Linked DNA regions of Macaca mulatta. The protein of the gene in region 4 interacts with the protein of the main gene of each other region in a pairwise test. Links are inferred from orthologs where the notes say so. Each region holds a gene or a part of one and is shown on either strand. Other genes may lie near its edges.

Evidence for each region.
Region 1: the proteins of PNMA1 (region 4) and METTL17 interact in binary tests that used the Homo sapiens proteins (3 or more experiments, as listed by UniProt). The link is inferred for Macaca mulatta from reciprocal best matches to the Homo sapiens genes PNMA1 and METTL17.
Region 2: the proteins of PNMA1 (region 4) and RTP5 interact in binary tests that used the Homo sapiens proteins (3 or more experiments, as listed by UniProt). The two-hybrid records come from large-scale screens. The link is inferred for Macaca mulatta from reciprocal best matches to the Homo sapiens genes PNMA1 and RTP5.
Region 3: the proteins of PNMA1 (region 4) and FBXL18 interact in a two-hybrid assay, tested with the Homo sapiens proteins (2 studies listed by BioGRID). The two-hybrid records come from large-scale screens. The link is inferred for Macaca mulatta from reciprocal best matches to the Homo sapiens genes PNMA1 and FBXL18.
Region 5: the proteins of PNMA1 (region 4) and RUSC1 interact in binary tests that used the Homo sapiens proteins (3 or more experiments, as listed by UniProt). The two-hybrid records come from large-scale screens. The link is inferred for Macaca mulatta from reciprocal best matches to the Homo sapiens genes PNMA1 and RUSC1.
Region 6: the proteins of PNMA1 (region 4) and HOXB9 interact in binary tests that used the Homo sapiens proteins (3 or more experiments, as listed by UniProt). The two-hybrid records come from large-scale screens. The link is inferred for Macaca mulatta from reciprocal best matches to the Homo sapiens genes PNMA1 and HOXB9.
Region 7: the proteins of PNMA1 (region 4) and MAB21L2 interact in binary tests that used the Homo sapiens proteins (3 or more experiments, as listed by UniProt). The two-hybrid records come from large-scale screens. The link is inferred for Macaca mulatta from reciprocal best matches to the Homo sapiens genes PNMA1 and MAB21L2.

The regions. Positions count from the first base shown.
Region 1 is NC_133412.1:93,845,111-93,847,317, reverse strand, and holds the end of METTL17 (ribosome assembly protein METTL17, mitochondrial), read right to left. Parts: intron 1,639-2,207; coding exon 1,588-1,638; intron 1,341-1,587; exon of another isoform or gene 1,331-1,340; coding exon 1,238-1,330; exon of another isoform or gene 1,201-1,237; intron 1,003-1,200; coding exon 818-1,002; intron 744-817; coding exon 638-743; 3' UTR 501-637; downstream 1-500. UniProt on the Homo sapiens protein: Mitochondrial ribosome (mitoribosome) assembly factor. Binds at the interface of the head and body domains of the mitochondrial small ribosomal subunit (mt-SSU), occluding the mRNA channel and preventing compaction of the head domain towards the body.
Region 2 is NC_133417.1:147,150,780-147,154,758, reverse strand, and holds the start of RTP5 (receptor-transporting protein 5), read right to left. Parts: upstream 2,801-3,979; 5' UTR 2,773-2,800; coding exon 2,615-2,772; intron 2,499-2,614; exon of another isoform or gene 1,280-2,498; coding exon of another isoform or gene 1,122-1,279; intron 1,105-1,121; exon of another isoform or gene 961-1,104; intron 807-960; coding exon 1-806.
Region 3 is NC_133408.1:43,703,223-43,706,722, forward strand, and holds part of FBXL18 (F-box/LRR-repeat protein 18), read right to left. Parts: intron 3,440-3,500; coding exon 3,221-3,439; intron 1-3,220. UniProt on the Homo sapiens protein: Substrate-recognition component of the SCF (SKP1-CUL1-F-box protein)-type E3 ubiquitin ligase complex.
Region 4 is NC_133412.1:146,883,643-146,887,793, forward strand, and holds PNMA1 (paraneoplastic antigen Ma1), read right to left. Parts: upstream 2,801-4,151; 5' UTR 1,998-2,800; coding exon 936-1,997; 3' UTR 130-935; downstream 1-129.
Region 5 is NC_133406.1:111,658,952-111,662,692, forward strand, and holds the start of RUSC1 (AP-4 complex accessory subunit RUSC1), read right to left. Parts: upstream 2,257-3,741; 5' UTR 2,128-2,256; coding exon 762-2,127; exon of another isoform or gene 491-761; coding exon 80-490; exon of another isoform or gene 1-79. Other genes in the region: putative uncharacterized protein RUSC1-AS1, read left to right, coding at 2,336-3,322; FDPS (farnesyl pyrophosphate synthase), read right to left, coding at 3,304-3,504. UniProt on the Homo sapiens protein: Associates with the adapter-like complex 4 (AP-4) and may therefore play a role in vesicular trafficking of proteins at the trans-Golgi network. Signaling adapter which plays a role in neuronal differentiation.
Region 6 is NC_133421.1:61,383,614-61,387,717, reverse strand, and holds the start of HOXB9 (homeobox protein Hox-B9), read right to left. Parts: upstream 2,801-4,104; 5' UTR 2,711-2,800; coding exon 2,194-2,710; intron 1-2,193. UniProt on the Homo sapiens protein: Sequence-specific transcription factor which is part of a developmental regulatory system that provides cells with specific positional identities on the anterior-posterior axis.
Region 7 is NC_133410.1:159,159,355-159,163,373, reverse strand, and holds the start of MAB21L2 (protein mab-21-like 2), read right to left. Parts: upstream 2,801-4,019; 5' UTR 1,431-2,800; coding exon 351-1,430; 3' UTR 1-350. UniProt on the Homo sapiens protein: Required for several aspects of embryonic development including normal development of the eye.

The DNA.
Region 1 (2,207 bases), about 53 Mb from region 4:
TCATACTCAGGCACCAGGTTCCCCCAATTCATTATACATTTTTCTTGCTTCTGCTTTTATGTTTAACTTGTACATTCATCATTATAGCAAAGGGCTTATAGAAATCTGGTTTTTCTACTTCTGCTTTAATGATCAGCTTACACATTCATCATTACAGCGAAGAGCTTATGGAGATCTGAACTGCCACAATAGGAGAAGGCGAGCTTGAGATTTGTGTGGGAAGCTTGGCATCAAAAATCTGAGGAAGCTCTTCATTACAGGATAGACCAGGATAATTAACTATACCTTTTACTTTTTTTTTTTTTTTTTTTTTAAAGAGAGGAGATCTTGCTCTGTCACCTAGGCTGGAGTGCAGTGGTACAATCACAGCTCACTGCAGCCTTAACACCTGGGCTCAAATGATCCTCTTGCCTCAGCTTCCTGAGTGACTGGAAATGCAGGCACATGCCACTGTGCCCAGCTTCTACACTTTTTAAGAATCACAAAATCCACTTCAATTCTTTAAAAATTTATTATTTATTATTAAAAATCTCAAACAAACACAGACATATGGGGATACCAGCAGTCCCCTCCTGGATACCAGGTAGTGTCAGCCCTGGCAGGCATGATAGAAGAAAATACTTGTTAGACATCCTTGTCAACTCTCAGAGGGATCTTGAGCAGTGGATGGAGGAAACGCAGACGGAGTAAGCACAGGTAAAAGATCTCCCCAGGAGCTGACACGGGCACAACGATACAAATCCCTATGGAAATGAGACGTTAATGTGGGCTGCAGGTTCTTGCCACATCCCACTAATTTTGGTCACACCCCCTATACCTGCCATGCCGGCGGGCTGTGATCACAGCATGCTGCATATGCCCATCTGGACAGCACAAGTGACAATGCACATGGCGAGGTCGTCTAAGGACAGGCTGAGTGATACGGGGCCAGCGATTAGCCTCCTCTGGAGACCCCCGAGCAAGGATCACCATAGAGAACTTTTCTTCCTTTGGTTTCTTGTTCTAAGATAAGGAACATAGAGACTGTTTAGAAGAAAAACATATGGGAAAAAAGTTTGTCAAGCCCCTTCTTCCCCATTCCTGCAGTCCTTTTTTACAATGTGTAAATCATATACATGTAGGCCCTAAAGTCTCTAGGCTATTCTGTGAATTATCCAACGCCTCCTAACTCTGACTCTTTTTCTTCCTGTTTTTTCCAAGATGTTTGCTTCCTGCTGCAATATCCCCAGGTACCTACCCAGCGGAAGGGGATGGGATGGTACGCCTGTGAGAAGCTACACGCCAGTGGCCTAGAGGTTGTCAACTGGGGACAAGGGAGTTCATGGGGACACTGTGAACACATAAAAAAGTGAGGTAAGACAAAAGAGCCATCAATCACAAAACTTAAAAACTAAGAATAATAGAGTCAAAAGGGGCCAGGGAGAATGGAGGACAGGAACAGTGGGTAGGAAGAGCCAGGAGAATCATTAGGTAGGAACTGGATAGGAACACAAAGTAGTGGAGAGTGGCTTAGCTTTACCATCTTACTTTTTCTGGCCACACCTGAGTTCAGATCTGTGTGGTGGGACAGGTAGAAGTAATACTTACCGGGGCAAAGACAAAACTAGGTCGAGGGTCCAAAGGTGACTTCTCTTTTCCCTGAAATCAAAGGAAATAAAAGAAATAAAGCTGGGCCAGGTGTCTATTTTCATAACTCAATCTCTGCAGTCAGTAAACTGAGGACTCCTTTAACATTCAATTCTAATAACGATTAACTACGTCCTTTGAGTTAAGCTGGCTGCATCTTTAATACTCCAAACAAAGAACTTTCTCTTTGCTGCAGGAGAAAGGCAAGAACTTGGCACAAAGTACAGTGCTCTCCCTTGTCAGCAACCTCCACTCTCAAAAAAATCCCACTCCAGGACAATGAAATTTATGATTATACACTGGCTCATACTCTCCCCCAGTGACAAGGTTCTCAGCTCAGCAATGCCCTAGATTAGGAGTCCGCAAACTTTCTTTTAAAAGGCCAGACAGTAGGCAAAATCTATCTCTGTCCCAACTACTCAACTCTGCTGTTTGTAGTGTGAAAGCAGTCACAGACAACAGAGGCACAAATAAGCATGGCTTATATAAAAACAGGTGGCAGGTCGGATTTGATCCACAGGCTCTCATTTGCCAACCACTGCTCTGATTCATAATGACTTTATATGCCCAGTTTCCTGAGA
Region 2 (3,979 bases), on a different chromosome or scaffold from region 4:
CAGGGACAAGGCCATTGTTGAGGGAGACGGGGCCCCAGCCCTGGGCCACGCCAACGGGGCTACAGAGGGAACCCCGGCCCTTGAAAAGGAAACCTTTGAGCTCGAAGGTCTGGATACTGCTGCCGAGGAGGCCGGGGCCATGGAAGAGGGGGTCTCCAATGGCCACTGGGAAGCCTTTGCCCCCAGGCATGGCCACAGAATCCCCAGACAGGTAGATGGAGCCCTGGCCAATGACCAGAGCCCCATGGCTGCCGGTCACAGGGAGAGAGGCCTCCTGTGAAAGAGAGGCAGGGATTGCAGGGCTCTCAGCGATGGGCACCTGGTCATTGCTGGCGCGCACAAGGGAGAACGGGATGGCGATGACACCACCACCCTTGCCGAGGTCATCGCCGGAGGTGGGCAGCTGTTTGCCCCTGGAGACGGCGCCGGTGCCACCCCAGGCCGTGGCAGGGAAGTTGCCTGTCGTGGTGTTGGTGCTCCAGGCAGGGTCTGGGGCCTTCTGAAGGAAACAGACCCCCAGCTCGCAGGCCTCACAGCAGCCCTCGTAGGCCTCCCTGGGGTGCCGGGTTGGGCCGAGGCCATCCCCGTAGCAGTCCTGCAGGATGTGCAAGACCAGCCTGCTGAGGAAGGGCCGCTCGCCTGGGGGCCTCACCTGGCAGTCCCCGGGCGCAGGGCACAGCTTGCACCGCTGGCCCCAGATGCGCATCTTCACCAGCCCCCGGCGGCCGGCCCTGTCCCACCACAGGTGGAAAAGGACATGCACGTGGGCCGAGTCCCAGGTCCCCGGACAGCGACTGCACTGGAGCCTGCGGGGGAAAGAGGTGCATGTGAGTGCAGCAGAAGGAGGCCCCACGGCCGGGCCTCGCGCTCTGTTCTGTGGCCTCCTTGCCCATCCGACCCCAGCGCCTCGCTGCCCCCTGCCTCGCATCCCACACTCAAACCCCAAACCTCAAACCTCACCCGCCAGCCACCCAGGGCCACGGCCAAGGCGGCCCAGCACCTGCTCCTGCCTGTGCTGAGGTTCTGAAACCACCAGCCCCTTGGCCACACGGGCAAACGCAGGCCCATGCACGCTAGCTTGCAACCCCCTCATCTGGAGCGCTGTTCTCAGCAAAGCAAACCTCCTCTCAGCAGTTTTGCAGCAAAACCCGCTCTGGCCTGGCCTCTGTGAGGTGTCGGCCACCTGCCGCCCGCGTGGCTCTGCTGGTGTTTTGTGAGTTGGGGTTAACACAGGAAGAGGCAGGCCAGCTGACACACTTAGAAGGGGAAAAGCATGCATCTGGGGGCTGTCCCTGGGGGCTCAGCAAGGGGGGTCCCTGTCCTGACTGAGAGGAGGTGATCCCCCCGTCACCTGCCAGCTGAGGGAAAGGGCGTCACTGAGGCCTGCGGTCATGGCCCAGGCAGCCCTGCTGGGCGTCGCCAGGCGAGGGGAGATTTGGGGAGAGCACTGGGAGAGACTGGCTTGTCCACAGCAGTCACCAGACCGGTGACCATTTGCTAACCACACAAGCAGCTGTGAGCTTCAGGGAACCCTGCATGAATGAGAGGCTCTGCTTCAGTTCCACGCAGTGGAACTTTCTGGATGACAGAATGTTCTATAGCCACACTGCCCCACCTGCAGCCGGCAGCCACACTGGCCACAGAGCCCGTGGACACGGTCGTGCTGGAGGAACTGAACTGCTGACTGTATTTAAATGGGACTGAGGAGCCTGCCAAAGCCACAGGCGCTGGGGCTCATGTTGGGGCACCCGTCCTCAGTTCTCTTCCGCCAGCTGGGAGCCACTCAGAGCCATCTCCGCCTGGCTGTGGGAACGGTGATGTGCTTCCAAGCACTTCTCAGACCCCAACATGGGTTATTACTTTCCCAACTTCTGAAAAAGCTGGGATTCTGCACACACCTGGCCCCAGGGGTCTCAGGCACTAAGGGGCTGTGTCCAAGGGCAGGATGACTCCCCCTTTGCCCAGGGCATCTCCACAGAGGGACTGACCAGCCGGCAGCCTGGGGGCCTGTCAGGCCGGGCGTCTGCGAGGCTGTGGAGCTGCCCTGCGCCCCTCCCGGCTGGCTCCTGGCAGAGCTGTGGATGCCTTGCCGGGTAGAGAAGCAGATGGGGCCCACCCTGTTGTGCTGACGGCACCACGACCATGACGATGGCCCGTGAGGCTCACATGTGACTCACAGCCACCCCGGGCCCCCGATCAGGGCCGAGCACCCCACCGTCTGCAGCGCAGGGCTGGATGGTGACCACAGGCACCGGCACGCCCCAGGGCCCACCTGTCAGCACAGACAGCTTCGAGGCCACGGCACTGCCATGGAAACAGGAGATAAGCCTGTGTCCAAGGGCAGCGCTGGCCTGAGGAGCCGAGTGAGGGAAACCAAACCCTCCACGAGGCACCCGCCATGTCTTCCCCGGGACCCCTGCGTCAGCAGCCGTGTGCCCAGCATGGCGAGGCAGAGGCTCAGAGGGGAGAAAGAAGGAGCACCCAGTCCCCCCTCCCGTCTCAGGGACAAGAAGAGGCCCGACAGCCCCACCCAGCCTCTGGGACCACCCAAAGTCCTGTGGAAAAGCACCTTCAGCCCCCTCCCTCTCCCAGGGTCCCCAGCCTCTGGCCGCACCTCGAGAGCCCCACCAGCAGGTACTGGACGCCACCGCCGTCCAGGCGTCCTGGGACCAGGCTGTGCTCAGGTAGCAGAACCCAGACGTCCTGGGGTTTCCTCTCGGCCATGGCCAGGGTGAAGGTGCTGGCCCACATGTCTGCCCCAGCCCCGTCCATGCTGCCGCCTGGCTCCGCAGTGCGGGCTGAGGGCTGCGCCCGCCGGGGGCCCAAGGAAGCATCCCTGCATCCGGCGCCGGCCAATCAGCCACCTTGACAACAGCACGGTCTCCATGGCAACCAGATTTGTCTCCAAGAAATGGGAAGCAGAAAGGAAAAATACAATACAATGCAATCTCCCATGACCCCGCCACCCAGAGAGCATCCCTGTGGCAGCAGCACCGTGGGGGCGGCAGCACCGTGGGGGCGGTAGCACCGTGGGGGGCCCGTGGACACGCAGGGGCCTCCCCAGACCTGTGCGTGTAGAGGCCCAGGTGTTTCCACACATCGCTCTAAGGAATCATCCCCAGCCCTCTCTTTCTACTGCGCACCAGGAACGGTGGCCCACACTCATCCCTTGCTGAACACTTCGTATTTGTCCAGCTTGTGGCTGTCATGTAACTTACTCACTCAGCTTCTCTCTGCAAACAGCACTAACGCTTTTCACACAAACAAAGCTGAGAAGAACTTTATAGAACGTGTATCACTGCAGATTGTCCCGTGGGTGTATTCTCTTAAACGTTTTACTAGTGAGAAATATAAAATATTTACGTAAAATGCCTAAAACATAAATGCAGAGTTTCACAAATTATTCTAAAGTCTTAGTCACCACCTCCCAGAGGAAGAAAGAGAACCTCGCTCTGCCAGCCTCCAGAGCCGACTGCCTGTTCGCTCCCGATTTCAGCCCGCGGCCCCACCCCCACCCTGGCAGAGGTGCCACCAGCCTGGCCGTGCCTGCACGGACCACGATGAGGCTTCAACACCTGTGATGCCTCCCTCACCGAGCCCTTTAGCTGTGCAGCTTCTGAGCTTCACGTAAACACCCCATGTGTGTGCCCAGCTTCTCACACCTTTTCAGGTTAGTTTGTGAGATTCAGTGGCATTGCTGTGCATGGCAGCCACCTGTCAGGGCACAACAAGAAAGGGTGAGCTGAGAAGGAGCTGGGACGTGCAGGGGCGGAGGCAGCCGGCGATCCCTACAAAAGCTCAGCACAGATCTGCCCCCGGGAGCCTCCAGGCCGCCCGGCTCTCCTCACAGCTCCCATCTCACCATCTCTCTGCTCTGCACACTGAACAATCTCTTCTCATTTTTCTACCACTTCACGCATTATCTCCTCGTCTCTGTCCACTCTGCAGCTCACGCTGGCAAGTGAGTGCATGTTGTCAT
Region 3 (3,500 bases), on a different chromosome or scaffold from region 4:
GATCAAGGGCTCTCCCAGGCACCTGTGTGTAACCAGCGCCCTCTGGGGCCACCTGCGAGCTCAGCGCCGGGCTCAGCTTGTGCCTGAGGACACAAAAACACCAAAGAAGAGCTATGGAGCACCAGCCTTCAAAAAACAGACCGTCCAACCGGAGAACGTAAAGAGCTTCCTGCATCCACCTTAGATCATCAGACTTGCCTAAGAAACACGCAGGTGCAGGTCAACCCAGGAGGCCAGAGGAGAAGCTCCCGGAGCCGGCCACAGGCAGTAGGTAAATGGAGGAGAGCAGCTCAAAGCAGGGGCTGGCATCCGGTGCCACGTCCAACCAACCCACCTGCAGCGCCATGCAGAGAGGATTCTGAGGACCAGAAGGAAAAGCAGGCTCATCGGAGCAGGAAGCCTTCGAGGGTGGGGCCGGGGGCCGCCCCGTCATGAGCGCAGCCGTCCTGAACTGCTTGGGGATTGTGGATGTTCTCCGCTGCAGCAGGGAAACAGAGAACTCCCAGAGCCAGTCCCCATCGCTGCAGGAAAAGCCACACCCCTGCAGAGCTGAGACGGCCCCACATGGGCTGGGTCTTAGGGCCCCAGACTCACAGGCCACAGAAGACAGGCAACACCCACTCCCAAGTCCCTTCAACAAAACACACCTACGCAGGAGGTGGCAGCTCTGGGTGCACAGTCGCAGCCTCCCACTGGCTGGAGGGCCTGTGAGTGGAGTCCAGCTGCAAGCGTATTGGGGAAGAAGGCCCGAGGCTCCTCCCGCAGCTGACAGGGCAGAGCTGCCTGCATCAGCCACACCTGAGAAAACCCAGCTTTGGCCTCTGGGTACCACAGCCTCACAGAGCACAGTGTGCCCCTTCCCCCAACAGCTACCGCCTGTCCCCAAGCCCACTCGGCTAAGCCCTTTGGAGCCTGTGACCCACTCAGCCCTCCTAAAAGGGGGCACACATCAGCAGGCGTCACATCCAGCTCACAGCACAACGATGCTAAGGTGTGAGGAAGCAGAGCCAAGGGGCTAAACTGAAACATTCTGGCCACCACCCAGGTTGCCCCGCTGGTTCCACTGCAGGCAAAGACAAGATCCAAAGCAAAGTCAAGGACACAGTGACCGTGTTTTCCATAAGAGCCATGAGCCAGGGCTGACCACCCAGACACCCAATTGAGGGCCATCAGGCCAGCACTGAGAACAATCACTTCGGGCTTTATTTACTGACACAAGAAGACTCTATGGTGTAGTGCTACATTTTTAAAAATCAGATTACAAAACAACATGAGAACCCTATCTCCAGCTGATTCTCCAGGGAAAATTGGCAGCTTTCACTGTTGGGAAACCTTCACTTAAAAATAGGTTGATGTTGGCCATACCTGTAATCCCAGCACCTTGGGAGGCCGAGGTGAGTGGATCACCTAAGATCAGGAGTTCGAGACCAGCCTGGGCAACATGGTGAAACCCCGTCTCTACTAAAAATACAAAAATTAGGCCGGGTGTGGTGGCTCACGCCTGTAATCCCAGCACTTTGGGAGGTCAAGGCAGGTGGATCACAAGGTCAGGAGATCGAGACCATCCTGGCCAACACAGTGAAACCCCGTCTCTACTAAAAAAAATACAAAATATTAGCCAGGCGTGGTGGCAGTGTAGTCCCAGGTGGCACCTGTAGTCCCAGCTACTCGGGAGGCTGAGGCAGGAGAATGGCGTGAACCCGGGAGGGGGAGCTTGCAGTGAGCCAAGATCGCGCCACTGCATTCCAGCCTGGGCGACAGAGCAAGATTCTGTCTCTGAAAAATAAATAAATAAATACAAAAATACAAAAATTAGCCAGGTATAGTGGTGCACACTTGTAATCCCAGCTGCTCAGGAGGTTGAGGCAGAAGAATCGCTTGAACCCAGAAAGCAGAGGTTGCAGTGAGCTGAGGTCCCGCCACTGTACTCCAGCCTGGACGACAGAGTGAGACTCTCTCCAAAAAAAAAAAAAGGTTGATGCATAGTCTAAATTTTTAAAAAGTACTATAAACACAAGTTGTTTTTACAACCAGAGAGGGGGAAACCCCAACCAGGGTTATTCCTGAGAAAGCCAGCGGCAAACCGCAAGGCCAACAGACTGCTCCAGAGTCTGGCCAGCAGGGCTGTCGGGACCCAATGGCTCGAGACCTCCTGGCTGGTGGCTCTTCTCGCAACTCTGTGAACAGCTGGGGCCTCCTTCCTGTCACCTCTCCCCACCTGCAGGGACACGAACACTCAGGGCATTCATGTCCTGCTGCCCCCTTGGCCGGGCGCACGCCTCTCTCCGGAGCCCTGCTCACTTCAGCACTCAGCCCGTCCTCCTGAGAGGTCTTTAAATGCGTCACTCCCCAGACCGCCTGCGAAGCTCTAGCTCTCTCCAGGAATCGCCTCCTCCTGACTTGTGTTCAATTCTAGGTGCTCACCTGAGTTCCTGCTCAGCAGCAGAGCATCAAACTCCAGGACGCCCTGTCACGAGGGGAAGTGGAGATGCTAGCTAGCTCAGGGAAGAGGGGCCAGAGCACGTGGGCCTTCCAGAAAGGGTGGCGAGGAGAGGGAGAAGGAAGGGTTCTCTGTTAAATCTACCGCTTTTACCCACAACTGCCCAAGTAACCACTGCTTCTAGATCTAAACAACGTGCAGAGATGTGAAAAATCCAGAGTTAAAAGATGGTTGCAGGCCGGGCGCGGTGGCTCACGCCTGTAATCCCAGCACTTTGGGAGGCCGGGGCAGGCAGATCACCTGAGGTCGGGAGTTCGAGACCGGCCTGACCAACATGGTGAACCAATATGTCTTTACTAAAATACAAAATACACACTGGTGGCACACGCCTGTAGTCCCAGCTACTTGGGAAGCCGAGGCAGGAGAATCGCTTCAACCCAGGAGGCAAAGGTTGTAGTGAGCCGAGATTTCGCCACTACCCTCCAGCCTGGGCAACACAGTGAGACTCAGACTCGAAGAAGAAGAAAGAAGAAGACTTTTGTACTTGTGGGAGAGGAGAGCTTGAACTATCTAGAAAATTTACCACATGGCTAGGGAGTGCTCAAGGAGAGGTCGGGCCACGCGTGGGAGACCAAACCCCTTGCTTTCACCCTGTCACTGCCTGGTGCTTGTCGATTCCAAGAAATCCCTGGTAGGCACTCGGTGAGGGCTGGGGACCAGGTCATGGGATGCTGGTGATGTCTGCAGCCCCTGAAGCTGTACGCAACCCATATCACTCACCTGCGGAGAAGCGACTGCTGCAGGCTCTTGCAGGTGGCAAGGGACTCCCCGGTGAACAGGTGGCACATGACGACGTGTAGGCAGCGAGCCATGAAGGCCAGCACGGCATCGGGCTGGAGGGTGCCGCTGCGGGAGACCAGGCACAGGCGCTGTAGCGAGGGGCACTGGCTCAGCGCCTGGAAGAACTGGGCGTTGGCGCTGAAGTAGGGCTGCTCCAGCCTGCGGGGAGAGAGGGCAGCTGTGAGGCCCGAGGGAGGGGCTGGCAGGCCAGGCCAGCTGG
Region 4 (4,151 bases):
CATTTAAATTCACATAGTATCATACAAAGCTTAAGAGTAAAATAAATGGTTTAATGACAAAGTCTTCATAAGAAAAAAGGACAGAGTTTACTTAGGCTAAAAATGTTTATACATGCCAGAAAAATGAGAAGACAACAGAATTTTTAAAATATTTTAATTTGTATATATAACTTCAAATTTAGAACACTCAGTATGAACAAGAACTATTCTCTGACAAAGATCTGAAATGGGGAAGTGAATTACTGTACAGGTGCATATCAACCTCTCCATGCAATTTACATCTGTATCTTATGCAATGAGAAACTGGTTTACACAGCTCCGTAATTGCAGTATTTTTTTAACACCCCATTTTGCAGTCTCAGAATACTTTTCAATTAAACTGATCGACATGTTTAAAGATGAGAAATATGATGTTTGCATTGTAAAGTTGAGTAATAGCTAATAAATGCACATTTCCTTCCATCAATATAAATCTGGAACTATTTATGGTAAAGAAAAATCTATCTGCGCTATCAGTAATCTAATAGTTCATACTTTTACTGAACACTTCCTGTGAGCCAGGCCCCGTAGTAAACATCTGCACATGCAATTTCACATTCAGTGTGGAATAGGAAGTGTCAGAGGTTCGTGTGTTTTTCACAACTGATTATGATGTCCATGATGACAGCGTGCACTAAGCGCTGTGTCCAACCAACCCTTTACCTGGCACTTTAGCCAGCAAGACCCACTTGCATTGTAGCAGCTCACGGTGCTCGCTTGCACAATTTTAGAATGTTACATGAATACTCAGGCCTGACTAACCTTCCCCTCCAAAAAAACAACAAAACGGAACAGGGCTAAGCCTTTACTACTCAGAGACACATCTGTAAGACCCCCACAGGGACAAGAAAACTAGCTGTGATCTAGGTCTGCACTAAAGCTGTCTTTTCTGGCACTCAGAAGTGCCCTTCCAGGCCTAACTGCAGAAGGGTGGCCTCAGCCTCCTCCTCCTCCTCCTTGGCTTCCTCCTCACGGATCTGCACCAGCAACTGAAAGAGGTTTGGGGCCGGCCCTTCCCCAGCCCCGGTAAGCCACAGCTGCCTTCGGATGGCCCCGCTGTGGTTGGCCCCAGCAATGACCTGCTCTAGGCGGGCCTGGTTCACGTTATCTTTATCAATGGCCCCCTTCTCTACCACCTTCTGTAGCAGAGGCTCCAGACGAATGACATAAGCAGACAATTTTTCTCCCGGGTTCTGATAAGTGTTCAGAAATTTGATCTGGGCATCCCTAGAGCTCTCAACGCTCCCAAACACCTGCTCAAGCGCCTTCAGGCATTCGGCAGTGGTTATCGCGGGGTTGTTGGACTTGAGGATGCGAATGACATCAGCGGCAGGGCCTCTAAGGCTCTCCATCAACCGCCGCCTCTTTTCTACATCGGACACCTGCCACTCCTCTAGGACCTCATTAGTGTGCTCCAGCCAGGGATCAAAGGTTTCCTCTCCAGGCCCTGGGATGTCCCTCCCCGAGAAAAGTGTCAGCCTCTTGTACCATATGGACTCAACAAGAGGCTGAATAACATTATCCAAAATATAGTTTAGCATCTCTGCTGGCATCTCTGGGCCCGGGGTCGGAGTAGGGTTCTGAAACCCAAGGACACGGGCAACATCTTGCACGGTCCACCCCTCTCTAGCTAGGAAGAGGTGCAATCTTTCTAAAAATTCAGCATCAGAAGTTGGGGGCTTAAACAACACTTTCCAGACCCCTCCTTTGCCCGGCATCTCCCTGGGGATCGCGGCGTAATCGACAGCGCCAGTGAGCTCTAATAAGGCTGCTTTCGCATTTTCTTCCCTCCAGAACATTCTCCCAAGCATTCGGTAGGGGACCTGGGGCATCGCTGCCTGGAGGGTCTCTTCGATTTCAGCCTCATCACAGTTCACTGGGATGCCCCAGACCAACAGAGCTCTCTGGGAGTTCACATCCATCCCCCGGCACCAGTCTTCCAACAGTGTCATCGCCATTTTCTCAACTATCAAGACGCCAATTCTACCAACAGACTGTGGCTCACCGTACTCCTGGCCTTAGAACAATACCAGACACTCCCACCAAGTAGGCCCAAGGGAGGTAGGCTTCATGCATTCACGACTAACAAAGACACAGAGTCCTGATCTCGCCCTTCTCTGCCCCCCCAGTCAGTCCGTAGGTACACTTGGAGCTGAGCTCGGGGACGCTGAGGAAGTCACGCGGCCGTCGCCATCTTGCGTCTGGGTCCGGGTCCGGTCGGGTCTGCCGCTTGCAGCCGGGCTGTCGCGTCGTCGTGCAGCGGGCAAGGAGCGAGGGCGGGCGGCGAAGGCAGGCGCGCTGGGTCGAAAGCAGCCGGGGTGTGGTCGCGGGGCGTGCCCGCCGGGCGCTCGCTGCGGCTCCTGGAGAGGATCGGGCGTTCGCGGTCGCAGCCTGGTCTTCCCGCGGGCGAGGAGCGGCCGTTTGGGAGACTAGCCAGAGGGAGAGACTGTGCCGAAGTCGCGGCGGCTGCGGGCCAGCGGAGAGCGGCTTCTTGGAGGGCGTGGGGACTCCTCTTGGCGGGCGCGGGGACTCCTCTGGGCGGGCGGCGAGGACGGCCGAGGACCAGAAACGAAGGCAGCAGAGGAGCAGGAAAGCCGGAGAAGCGAGGCTGGAAACAGCACAGGCAAGGGTGGGCAGCGGCGGCCGCGGCGGCCTGCAGCGGCTCAGGCGCTGCGCGGCTGCCCCAGCGTCGAGTCCTACCCGCAACCCGCTGCGACGTTACTGCTGCAGTGGAGGATGGGGCCAGCCCGCGAGCGGCGTCAGCCCCGCCCCGTCCCGCCCCTGTGGCGGAGCCGCTCGGGCGTCGCCATGGCAACGGCGCCCCAGCTGGCGCGAATCACGCCTGCTCCGGCGGCCCGCGGGGGTCGAGCGGTTGCCATGGTGCCAGCGAGGGGCTCGGGCATTTGTTTCTCTGATGGCGCATTTCCTTTTTCATAATTTTCCATTTTAACAGCAAACAAATACTGCTAAGCACCGTGTTTTAAAAATAATAACCCAATCCTGGAGTGGATTTAAGATGATACTATTGGAAGTCATGGCATCCCTCATGGTGGACTTGTCTACTCGGGTTGCCCAGCCAGTCCACCCTGCACGTGAAAATACTCTCCTCAGAACCCTGGCTTCCCGTTACCCCTGACCACACTGTGCACCCTGCGTATTTTATCCCAATGAAGCCGGAGTGCGCCATTTTTTGTGTGAGATACTGAGTTTAGACTTTTTCTTGTCTAAACTTTTGTAAACATCTGTTTGTCTGTGTCTACTGAGTCATCTTTTAGCCAGGCAAACATTAGTGTTATTTTCCTTTTCCTGGCTGGCATCGACAATAGGCTGCTAAAAGAGAATCCTTATGGCTCAAAAATGTCGAGTAATCTCCCTGCAAGCAAGACAAGGCCCACTTACATCAACCCCAGATGGTGAAAATCCCGAGAGAACATAGCATTCAACTCTGAATTTTTAAAACCTTATTTAATAAAAGGTTTAAAGATACAGAAGAACATTCAAAAGTAAATAAGTTACATAGGTACATTACAATCACATCAGCAAGATTCTTTAGTGTATTAATTTTTTCTTATAAAAAGCACACAAAAAATAAAATCTTCAGTCTCTATCACAACTGTACAGCAAAAGAGGTAATATTTATATGTATGTACACTATTTTAATATGTAACAGTCTTTTTCAAAAAGGGTGCCACAGGCAGCAAACACACAAAAGGCAGTGTCTGATCATTTTTGTTTCAAAATAAAAGGAATATACTTATTTATATGCTATTAAAATATTTGTACAATAATTACAGACTGTCAAGGCTGTTCCTGTGCTCTGTCCCCTCCAACAAGGCCTTCAACTTAGAGACAAATGAGGAAAAAGTGAAACAGCTGCAAATTGTTAGAGGCAAATATTAACATAGCAAAATGTGGGGAGGACACAATTGTTTTATAAAAATATCCCTACTTCCTGTAAACCTATGGAGTTAGGCTTGCCAGTCTGATAATAAATACCGTCCCAGAAAAGCGAGCCCCAGTGAAAACAACTAAACAGCTGAGGCTTGAGCATGTGTTGTATTCCTCCTTCATCTTAACATCTGGCACATGAGAAGAAAGAGGTTAGGTCACTG
Region 5 (3,741 bases), on a different chromosome or scaffold from region 4:
GATAGTGGGAGGGGCCTTGGAGCGGGCGGGGCGGCCCGCCTGAGGCGTGGCCCGCGGGGCTTGCCCGGGTCCGTCTTACGTAGCCTGGGCGGAGGCGATGGGCTCCTGGTCCAGCGAGGGGCCTTCGGCGGACGAGGTTGCGGTGGCAGCGGGGGGGCGGGTACCTGGCGGGGTGGGGGAGCCGCGGCGGGGAAGGTGCTACTTCTGGGAAAGAGCGGGGACAGCAGCAGTGCCAGCTCGGGGCTGGCCAGGCAGGGCAAGGCTCCCCGAGTCGGAGGCGAATAGGCTCCCACTGGGGACAGGCGGACGGGCAGCAGCTGCTCCTCTGGGGGGCTCGGCGCCCCCAGCAGCCGCAGCCCAGCGCCAGGCCACCCTGCCAGAGGAGCCAGGAGCAGAGACCCAGCTGCGCCTGCGCCCCCACCCTCCAACAGGGGGCGCCCGTCGGCCGAGAACCGGAAAACCAGGGGCCGAGGGAGCAGGAGGGGACCGGCTGCAGGCGGGATTGGCGGGGCCAGGCGCAGAGGGAAGGAGGGCAGCGGGATGGGCAGCCAGGCAAGGAGGGGCGGGAAGAAGAGGGAGCAAAGAGTTAGTCCCATATCCCAATGACCCACCCAGTTTCCCTTTCCCGGAGCGCTCCCTGGTAGAAGGGGCGGGGAGGATGGGTGACACAGAATGGAGGGAAGACAGGGGGCCGGGTTGGAAGCCTAGGAGGCGTGAGCGGCCGAAGCCCAGCCCTCCTCCCGCTTCTTGCGACCTCTTACCCTCCAGGCCGGCCTGCGCGCCCGGCTCTCCCGGCTCCTTCGCGGCTGGGGCCTCCTCGCCAGCCGCTGGGCTGACAGCCCGGCCCTCCTCGGACTGCCCCTCCGCTATGGGCTGCAGTCCAGGTCGGTTCTTCTTCCTTCGGGGAGGGACAGGCGGGGGTGGGGGCCGGGGCGGGACCAAAGCCCAGCCAGCTGGGGGGTCTCGAGGCGGGACTGGCGGGGGTGGGGCCCGGCTTCGGGACCGGAGTTCCTTGAAGGTGGTGACTTCCCGAGGAGGTGCCGAGGAGCCGCCCAGCGACCCCGAGGGGGGCAGCTCGGTGTCGGGCGAGAAGACTATGAGCCAGTCACTGCGATCTTTCTTGGCCTGCGGGACGAGGGGCAGCCCTGGGCCCCGCTTGCGCTTCTGGGCCAGCTCGTGGAAGGACGTGATTGTCCGGTGGGGCACCGGCTCCTCGCTGACGTCACTTCTCCATCCTCCATCAATTTTCCCTGCATCTGTTTTCGAGCCAGAATCAGTTATTCTTGTGTTGGTTTTCCAACCAGAGTCGAATTTTTCAGGTTCATTTTTCCAGCTAGAGTTAACATTCCCGTTGTTTTTCCAACCAGTGTTACTGTTTTCCGTGTTTTTCCATTCAGCTTTAGTTTTCTCTGTGTCAATTTTCCAAATTGGGTTAATCTTCCAACTGGGCTCCGTTTTCCCAGCGTCGATTTTCCCATCATCCGCCTCTAAGAGCTCAGAGGTAGGGAGATCCTGCTCCGCGCTCTCATCCTCTTCCTCCAAGCCTGGGGAAGGGAGGTCCTGGCAGGTGGTCAGGGCGTTGCAGTTCGAGTCCAGGCCAGGATCGGGTGAAGAAGAAGCTCCGGAGCAGGAATCAGGAGAGCAGCAGAAGCTGTCCGGTGAGCAGGTGCCAGGGCCTGCTGAAGCCAGTGGGGAACCTTGCTCCAGGGGGATGATACTGGGCTGAGGGTGGGCATCCTCATCACCAGGGAGGTCCCGCAAGTAGACTGAGACGGGGGACTCATCGGGGCTAAGATCTGAGCAGGAGCTGAGCGAGGAAGAGCAGCCTGGGTCTGAGGGAGAGGCAGCCCCCTCTTCCTCCTGTGATGGGTCCTGCCGGTTTTCTAGGCCCGGACCGTGCTCCTGGCAGCACCGGCAGGGCACAGCTGGGCTGTTGGAATTGGCGTCCACCAGGGTGCCACTGCAGGGGCCCCTGCTCTCCTTGCCCCCAGTGTCTCCTGGGGGAGGGGATGTGCTCAAGGGCCCTTCCCGTAGCTCAGGACGGCGGGACAAGTGCAGGCCCAGGGAGACGTGCTGGAGATGGATGTGATTGAGGTTGCAGAGTAAAGCTCTCTGAGGAGACAGCATGGTGCCAGCGGCGATGGGATGGCTTCTAGAGAACCAGGAGGGTAGGGTCTCTCACATCCACCTACCTGGCAACCACAGGTGCAGACCTAGAAGACAGGGGTGGCGAAGCCCAGCCAGTGAGGACAGGAGCTGCGGGAAGGACACTGAGGTGACTGACGGCAGCAGCAGGCCTGAAGGCTCTGGCTGCTTTGGAAGATATTTCAATGAGATGCAAATCGCAATCGACTGGCCATTAGTTTCCACTGCAGTGTTTGCAGGTGGAGTCGAATGTAACCCTCCGGGAATGGAGCCGGGAGGGTCAGAGAACGCGGCTGCGCTCTGGATTTCCGAAGGGGGGCGGGGGCCCGGAAGAGGTCCGGGCCCAGAATGGACCTCCGGGTCCCTGCTGCCGCAATCTGGCCCTGCCCTCCTGCCTACCCCTTACTCCCACAGGAAGGGACCCAGGGAGACCCACCCAGATGCCCTGAAAGGAGGCGGGGGATGGGGGTGGGTCGATATGCAGAGTTTGCCTGGTGAATGCAGGAAAGGGGTGGGAGCTGGAGAGGAAAAGGATGGAGCAGCCGTCAGCTCGTCAACTCCACATCTGCTGGCTGCCTCCGCCGGGCTCCAGCCTGCGCCCTCGCCCCTCAGAACAGCGGTATGTCCATTCTCTCCGCATTCGTCTCCATCGTTCAGTCACCACCGCACCCCTTCTCTATTCATTTCTCCTGCTCCCTTGTCCTGCCCCGCCCCTCGTGCCCTGGTCCATCGGCCTACACCCATGGGCCGAGCCCTCCTCACCAGGGTCCTCCTGGAACCGCTCCGGCCTTGGGCTTGTCCTCGGCTCCCACGGTCCCCGCCCGGCGGGGCACAGAGCGGGAGGGGAGGGGCACTAGCACAACCCACTCTGCGCAGCGCATCTGCACCCCTTCGCGCATGGGCGTGGCGTAGCTCAGACCCGCCCCCAGCGCTTAGCGTCTTGTGTCACCCACCTAGCGGGTTTGATGTATCCCAAGCTTTTGGCCCTGATGCCAAGGCCCCTGGGTCCCGCTTCTGTGCAGCGAGTCCTCCCAGCACCCCACCCCGCACATTCTGGAAAGAGCCAGACTCTGGCTGCGCCGAGCAAGAACAGAACCACAAAAAGGTTACACAATTATTTATTGAGAGCCTCCTCTCCCCATCCTTGCAATCTCTAGGTCACTTTTTCCGCTTGTAGATTTTGCGCGCAAGCCCCAGAAAGATGGCTGGGGGCAGGGGCGCTGCGTACTGTTCAATGAGAGCCATAATGTGGCTGTAACTGTCCTCCTCATATTGCAAGAACACAGCCTGCAGATCCAGCTCCTCATATAGTGCCTTCACCCGGGCCACTTTCTCAGCCTCCTTCTGCCCGTAATTTTCCTAAAAGGGGTTGGAAGACAGGAAAACGGGCTTGGCCTTCCCCAGAGCCTCCAGGACCCCTCCACTCCTCTCATTCTCATATTTCAGAACATCTCCAAAGCCACCCACTCCTTTCCTCCCTCCAATTTTCTTTTTTTTTTTTTTTGAGATGGAGTCTGGCTCTGTCGCCCAGGCTGGAGTGCAGTGGCCGGATCTCAGCTCACTGCAAGCTCGCCTCCCGGGTTTACGCCATTCTCC
Region 6 (4,104 bases), on a different chromosome or scaffold from region 4:
AGTGAGATGTCTGTTCAGTTACCACATTTGGGGTGTCACTTCACCCCAAGAGACCTTTCAGCCCTTCAGTCTAGTCCCAGTACACCCTGCCTTGATCACAAACTTGTGTCTCTAGACCACATGGCAGCAGGCATGTGTGTCTGTGTAGAAATCTCCCCCTCTGTTACCACCACACACCACAAATATGGGTCTGCACTTAGAGCCACAAACAGGCAGCACACTCCAATTCACACGCAACGCAATTGCAACCATTTATCAACTCCAGCCTATGGACAGGGGAGCGCCAGGGGCTCACAGATAACTTATGGTTGCAATAGTCTCTCTCCTTTTCGGCTCCTGCTCAGCTCACAGTTTGGCTAACACAAGTTCAGGGAAATTGGGGAGTAAAATTGCTCCAGTCCCAAGGTGGGGAGCCAGGGGTGATGTGGAGGTAAAAGGAAGCCCTTCACAGCACACCTAGCCTTAACTGGTCCTATGTGGGGGCTGGAGGGGAGAAGAGGGTAACTGAGTGGAAGAGAGGAAACAAAAATATATACAGGCTTCTCTTCTTCTTACCCTCTCTCCCCCTGCTCTGGAACTCAAAAAAGTTGCCAAATAAAGCTAAGCCAATTAAAAATAATAGCCACCAGCTACTAGCTTCCTTCTCCCCAAGTGAAAAACACTGGATTTTTTTTATATATAAAAAATTTGGTTCATCCTACACTAAGTACCCTGTCTTACCAATTTGCAGTGCTATTTCCTTAATGTGATTGCCTGGGATGGGACCCGCAGCCGCATTAAATATGAAAGAGGGAAAAAACTGTTAATAATTGATTCTAGCCAAATGGCTGCCTTGCAATAATGGGCTTTTCAGGGAGAGTTTGGGGTTTTAGGGTGGTGGGTCGGTTTGGGAGTGTGCGGGGAGAGTTGGGGAAGAATGTCTTCCCCAAATGCCAGCTCTTAGGATTCCACCTGGCGGGTTGGAGGTGACAGGACCCTGCAGGGAATGGAGCAGCTCTTTACTCTCCAGCAGGCAAGGATGCACTAAAGAGCCCTGGGGCCACTCCGTCAATGGGAAACCTAGCAGGGCAAGGAGAGACGAAAAAATCCCTACTTCCCAAAAAGAGTAAGAAACGAGGACTTGATTCACCAGCCTGCGAGTCATTGTTTGGGGCTGAGTTCCCTCGCCGAAGGGCCCTTCTCAACCTTAAAAATAAGTAATAGGAGAACCCTCTCTTCTCACCTAGTAGCACCTCCTGGAAATCAGCCAGACTTGGCGTTCTGACTGGGGTGCTTTTGAGGAGTGGGAGGTGATGGGAAACTACCCATAAACGGTAAAGTTCTCCGCCTCTCTGCAACCCTCTCTTCCCCCACCCCTCCTCTCCCCGGGATGTCCCGATATTCGGAAGCGATTCCCCGACTCCCCAAGAGGCGGACAGCCCGGGCTGGGGCTAGGGAGCCCCGCAGAGAGCAGCGGGGTGGAGGAAGGACCGCAGAAAAGGAAGCGGCAGCCCCGGCGAAGATGCCGAGGAGGAGAGGGGCCACCAGAGGGAAGGCTCCCGGGGAGGGGCCGGCGCATCCGGGGAGGGGGCTCAGTCACCGCGTCCTGGGCTTCCCCCGCCCCTCCCGGCGCCGGTTGCGGACTCTGAGCGGCTACAGCACGAGATCTGCTAGGAACAATTCTCCGCCAAGCTGTTGCATCGCAAATAAAATCCTAATGAGCCCCCTCCCCCTTCCCCTTGGCCGGCTTTTACGGTCTGCGCGTGGAGCGGGGAGCTCTGCCAGCCGCACGGTCCCGGGCAGCCCAGTGCGCTCCGGCCCTTGCCCTCGCCGGCTCTCCGCCTTGCTGGCCGCTGGCCCTCGGCCCCACCAGCTCCTCTCCCGGCCGTCGCCGGTCTCTGGCCGGGCTTTCAGCTGGGGCCTCCGGGAGACAGGGGAAAGAGGGCCGAGAGAGCTGCAAGTCGATCCCAGAGCCCCTGTTCCCCGCACTACTTGAAGAAGTGGGGGCAGCGCTCCTCTGGCGGCCTCAGTCTCCCCTTCCAGAGCACGCAGCTTTCCCCCTTCCCTCCGACTTTCCTTCCTCTCCCCTCCTCCCGGCCCGCTCTCCGGCCACCGCCGCAGTTTCCCTTCACATGGTCGGCAGTTTATTGCCTTTCCCCTCCCCGCCCCCTCCTGGCCTTCGGCCTGGGTATTTCCTCACTTTTTATAACTTACTTTGATCCGGCCTCTCTTTGTCCTCGCTTCCTTCGCAAATTTTATTGTCCCCGTAGCCGGGTCTTTGATTAGACAGCACGGCCTCCCTGCCCGCCGAAGTTTCCAAACTGTACTCGGGCGTGCCCTGTTTAAGCAGCTCCCCAGGCGCGCCCAGCAGCGGCTCCGCCTTCACCGCCGCCTGGCCCTGCCCCGGGGTCGCTTCGCCGCGCGGCGCCGGCTCCAGCCAGGTGCGGAGGTACCTGCTCTCGGCCGGCGGGACGCCCTGGGGCTGGATGTAAGGGTGGTAGACCGACGGCAGGCTCCCGGACGCGTGCGGGCTCAGCGGCGCCCAGGAGGCGCCGAACACCGGCGCTTTGGGCTGGAAGCTGCACGAGGGGAACTCCAGGTGCTCCGCGTGGCCCGGCTGCCGCGGGCTCGCGTACTGGCCAGAAGGAAACTTGGCTGGAGGCGCGTCCTCACTCTCGTGACTTATGATCGAGTCGACATAATAGCTGCTAAGCGTCCCAGAAATGGACATTCTCAGACATTATCCGGGCGCTCGCAGGGGGAAGGGAAGCGCTCGCGCGGCGGCGCCCAAGCAGGGAGAGGTGGCACCCGGACCGGTGTGAGGGCTTTCGGACGCGACCCCCCCAGCCCCCCACCCTCCCACCCCCACCCCCTGCTCAACTTCTCAGCCAACAAAGTACAGTGGAGCAGCCAGGCTCAGCGCTCCTTGCAAAATGATTGGTCAAAGTTTTTCCGACTGCCTGATAAAGCGTCAGCTCCGACATAAATCAATCGGGCGAGGGGGCTGCGCTCTCGCTGTCATCCGTCCGCACCGCATTCCATATCGAGGATGGATTGTTTTATGCTGATGCAATGTGCTATCACGTCAGGGCTCCGGCGGCCACGTAACCTCAGCCTGAGCTGCCGGCTGCCCGGTCCCCCCTCCCGCTGCAGGAAGGGGGGCAGTTCTCGACATGGGGCGGCGGGGGCGGAGGAGAGGCGGAGGGAAGCGGCGGGCTGCCTCGGGAGGGACGCAGGCTGTGGAGCCCTCTCCCCAGGCGGGTCGGGGAGGGAGGGAGAGCAAGGGCGGAGGGAGGGAGAGAGCCCCAGCCCGGGGAGCAGCCACAGAGGCCCGAGAGGATACTGGAAGAGGAGGTGGTCCTGTCCCCCCCAACACACACCTCCACCTCCACCCCACAGGCCCTCATTTCCTCTTCTCTGTCCCCTTGACAGAAGATGTTTATTAAACAACAGCAGCAGCAGCAATCCACAGGAGATGAAGTAAAAGGATGAGGGGAAAAGTTGGGGATTTTAGGACGTTGTCCGCTTTGGAGGGGGCTCTCTGTGCACTATTTGTAGAGATTTACATGACTGGGAGCTTCCCTGGACCCCTCAGTAGCTGAGGGAAGAGGAGAGAGGTGAATAAAACGGCTGAGTGTCCAAGAATCCACTATTTGTCCTGAAATTAGAAACTGCTTGAGGTTAAAGGGATCCATCAGGCCCCGGAAACGTGAGCCTAGGAAAGAGTTTAATACAAGGAACCAGAGCGCCTTTACATTTATTGGGCCTTTCTGACTCTGGCCAGAAGGATGGATTTAAGATGGTGGTGGTGAGGTGGGGGCGGCAGGGGGGGGGGAATTGCCATTTCTCCTTTTCTCCACTGAATAACTGAATAACCACCCAGGCCCCTAAAATTGCCCTGATGAAGGAGCTGAATAGCAGAAAGGGTTAAGGACACTCCCCTGAGGTGTCACCAGAGTAGAGGCCTGGGAAAGGATCCCCAGTCAGCAAGGGAAGGGGTCCCAAGTTATCTCCCCTTCCATCCAAAGAGGAAGGAGCCTGGGCTGAGTTTTCAGCCCTCCTGTATCACTCCTCTCACCCAGGGCTCCTGCTCTGGAGACTTCCAAACACCGATATAGGGGCCAG
Region 7 (4,019 bases), on a different chromosome or scaffold from region 4:
GGATAGGGGGAAAGAAGGAAAAGGGGGAAACTACTATACATTGATTTGAAAATGTACCTTGGGTTTCATTTTGTGGTGGCACAGCCCGATTGCTTCTTTTGTGTGACCTTTTAAATTCACATTGTTTGGAAGAAAACGATCACTTTTGTGCAAGAATGTGATATCTTTTGGTTGGGTTGCTCTCTTTTTGTTTGCTTCTTAATTAACGAAGGTCTTCTGCCTGATTCCTATTTCAGGTGACTTACATAAAAGTTTGTGTCCAGAGTTTCTGCTGTTTATCGCTGAGTTGTGTGTTGTGTGTCTGAGAGAGCACGCCTGTTTGTGTCGCTTTTCAAGCAGTCCCCAGCACCCTATAGTTTGTCCAGGCTTTTGGGATTGGTGAGAATTTCCCTGGCCAACCTCCAGGTCTGCTTGGCAGCGCTCTCCAGGGCCGAATGGGGCTTGCCCTGAAAGAGGTCGAGGTTGGGCAGAAAGTAGTGAGGGCAGCGGCGGCACTGCAGGCAGGAGATGAGCTGCAGCAGGATGCCGTTGAGCCGGTCGCCCAGGCACGACTCGTCCCAGTCCGTTTCTCGCGGGTGTTTCTCGCACTCGTACAGCAGCAGCGTCTTCATGTGGTAGTTATTGAGCGGCTGGCCGGGTAGCTCCAGGTGGCGGTCCCGCAGAGTCTTCAGCACTGAGAGGCACTTGTTTCGGCAGCCTCCCATCAGCAGGCGGTTCTCCGCCTCTCCGAACTGTAGCACCCAGGCGTCGCTCTCTGCCGAGCTCTGCTTGCCGGTCAGCGAGTAGCACTCCTTCGAGAGCAAGTTGAACCCTTCGGCCTTGACCTCGGCCACCCTATTGGGGCCGGGCCAGGGGATGTGGGGCATAGGCCACTGTGCCGCGCTTCGAGGCCAGATCCCGGTGCACTTGAACGCCGGAGTGATTTGCACCACATAGCGCTCTCTGATGCGCAACTTGACCTCGCTGGTGTCCGCAATCATCTTGACCACATCCCGATAGCTGCACTTGTCCACCGCCTGGGCCACCAGCGTCTGGAAACGCGAGCGGATCTTACGCGCTGAGAGATAGCCCGACGCTGTGATGAACTCGACCCAGAGAGACATGCTGCGCTTCCGCCCATCGCTCAGTTTGAGCACCGCGCAGCCCGGCAGCGAGCCGTCGTCCACGAAGTTGAAGACGCCCATCTGGTTTAGGTAGAGCACCACCTCAAATTCGGTGGGCGAAATGACCTCAAGCCCCTCGTAGCGGGCATCGATCTCGCTCAAGGAGCTGATGAAGCGAGGCTCCTGCACCTCCACTTCCTTGAGCACGTCCGAGACCACCTTACAGACCTCTCGAATGGTTTTGGCGATGGCCGCCTTGCGCGCCTGGCAGCGCTCAGTGTAGTATTTATTGAGCTGGTAAACCAGCTTGGCCTGAGCGGCAATCATGTTGGGGCACAGGTCCGGGCTATACACCGGCGTCTCGCAATACGTTGAGGGATCCAAGGCTCACGCACTGGTGGTGGCCCAGCGGCTTTCGAAAGAGGCGGTGCGCTCCCCGTTAAGCCCCACTTTCACTCTTGTTTTCCACCTGGGCTGACCGGCTGATACTGTAGCCGGCTTGTTTTTTCCTTTTCCCTCTTTCTAAACCTTTTTTCTTCTGCAGAAAAATTAGGGGAGAAAATATGATTTTCTAAAAAGAAAAGCACCTCCTGGGACCTTTTTGCTTTCTCTTGATATGTAAAGACCGTGTGCGAGAGAAGCGGGGTGGGGGTGAGGAAGGAGAAGGAAAAAGAAAAAAACTCAGGATACCAAAAGGTTAGGCTTAGATGTCTGCAGCCGAGATTGCCCAGAAATCTGAAAATGAAGTTTTTTAAGTGCCAAAGTAAATTTAAAAATAAAAGCGAAACATTCAGTGGTTCATTCTTAAACTTTTCTTCCACGCTGCTAGGACTTCTTCGCTCAGTGTAGGTGAGTGCCGTCTTCCTCACCCTCCCCCAAGTGGAAGGTGCAGGAGGTAATTAATGTTCAGAGAGCTGCGAAGTACAACTCAGTCCGCCGTGCACTTGGAGGTTTGCTGACGCCTCGCAGTCTCAGCGTGTTGGTCTCCTCTCTTCTCAGGGGGTCGTGTTGTCGCAGTTTTCCTCTTTTCCTACTGGAGGCGTTGTTTGGACTGGGTTGGTTTGTTTGTAGTGGGTTCTTCTTGTATTTCTTTAGGTGCAAACCGCTGGAAGTTGTTTGATAATCATTTCTGCTTCGTAATTTATACTTTTGGCCCTCACAAAATCCGTTTTAGTGTGACGAAGTCGTTGCTTGCGTTGCATCTGGGGTGTAGTTATAACGATTCAGGGTTTTCCTTCTTTAGGTTGCTTGTACAGATTCCACTTTCTGAGTCGTCTCTCCCCCTCCTTTCCCCTCCGACCTCTTTCTCGCCCCGCACTCCCCTGCTTGTCTCCCCCTCCCCCCTTCCTCGTGCTCGCTCTCTCTTCTCTCCTTTCTCTCTCCCTCTCTCCCTCTCTCTTTCTTTCTCTCTCTCCCTCGCTGTTTCCTGGAGTTATTTAGTTTATGAATGGTCCCAGGGCCATCATGAGGGGGTGGAGCTTCAGTTCCTACAATCGCTATCCGAGCTGTCAGTGCTTTAGCCAATCCGAGAGAGAAGACAGGCAGGCTTGGCGAACGGTAGCAGCCACCACTGCACTTGATAAAGAAAGAGGGTAAAGAGAGAAGTAGGAAAATAGGAGGAGATAATGGAAGTCAAATACATGCACACATTTTACAGCCCTTCCTCTTTATCCTCCTCTCTTATCAGTAGCAAAGAAGAAAAAGAGTTTATATAGAAGGGACTCTCCTGGAGATGGCTGGAATAACGCGAGGGAGAGTAGCAGTGGTTCAGAAAGGCTCACTTTTTTTTTTTTTTTTTTTTAAATGAATCTATCAACATTGTGTAGGAGAAGGTGAAAACTGTAACAAAATTACTTTGGCTTGAAGGCAAGTGGGAGGAGACAGGGGAATCTGGGAAAGGACCTAATTTTTCCAGGTTTTTTCCTCCTTTAAAGTCTTACTCCTTTCTCTTCCCCTCCCCTCCCATTGTTGCCAAGAATCAGAGCAATCGCTGTATATGTGCACCAGTGGGGGTTGGAGTGGATATAAGGTGAGGGTTTATAACCATAAATCTCTTTTTAGTAATTTCGATATGCTGTTGAAAAACAGGGCAGGGCAAAAACTAGTCCAAGCACCTTGTTTGATAATTATTTCATAATTAAGATTCACATATATTTAATACATTATTTTATCGTTGCAAGAATTAACTAGTTACGAGAGAGAAAATATCTAAGTTGTGAGAAATGGTGCAAATTTATATGTCGTAGAACTTAGTAGGATATACTTTTAAAATAAGCTACTAAAATTGTTTCAAACTTAATGAAAAACAAGGGAAGTAAATATAAACCTAAAGTTTTCTTAAAATTGTACTGTTGTAAATCTAACTGTGAATGTATTCTTAGGGGGTACAGGTACAGTTTCATTTGTAAAATGATTTTATTTTCATAATTGACTCTTGCTTTTAAAAGACTTCACTGCCACAAAAATCTATAACTATCCTGTTATTGATTACACAGATGGCTTCACTCCTCCCTAGGCATTTCAATGAAAGACATGCATGTGCTTTTTAGTACATGTATTATCCTAAACAAGTTGTACCCACTGTACCCTTTCGATACTTTTGGGTGAAAAAAACAAAGCTAGAACATTGTTTCTGATTTGCTTAATATTGAGGGTTTATGTATGAACCTAAAATGTCTGGATTCTGAATCTTTTTAACGTGTATCAGGTAGACGTGATTATTTTTAGTTTGATTTCGGAGGTTATATTCCAGCCCTGGGTTATGCGATAAAAATAAAAATCTATGAGTCCATTTGGGTGAAGACTTCGTTTTAGAAACCTGGTAGTTTGGCTTTTTCAAAACCCCTTGGGAAGGCTTGACTTACCCTCTTAAAGTCCGCCCGGGTGAACCTGAATTGAATTGCATAGGGTAGTTAA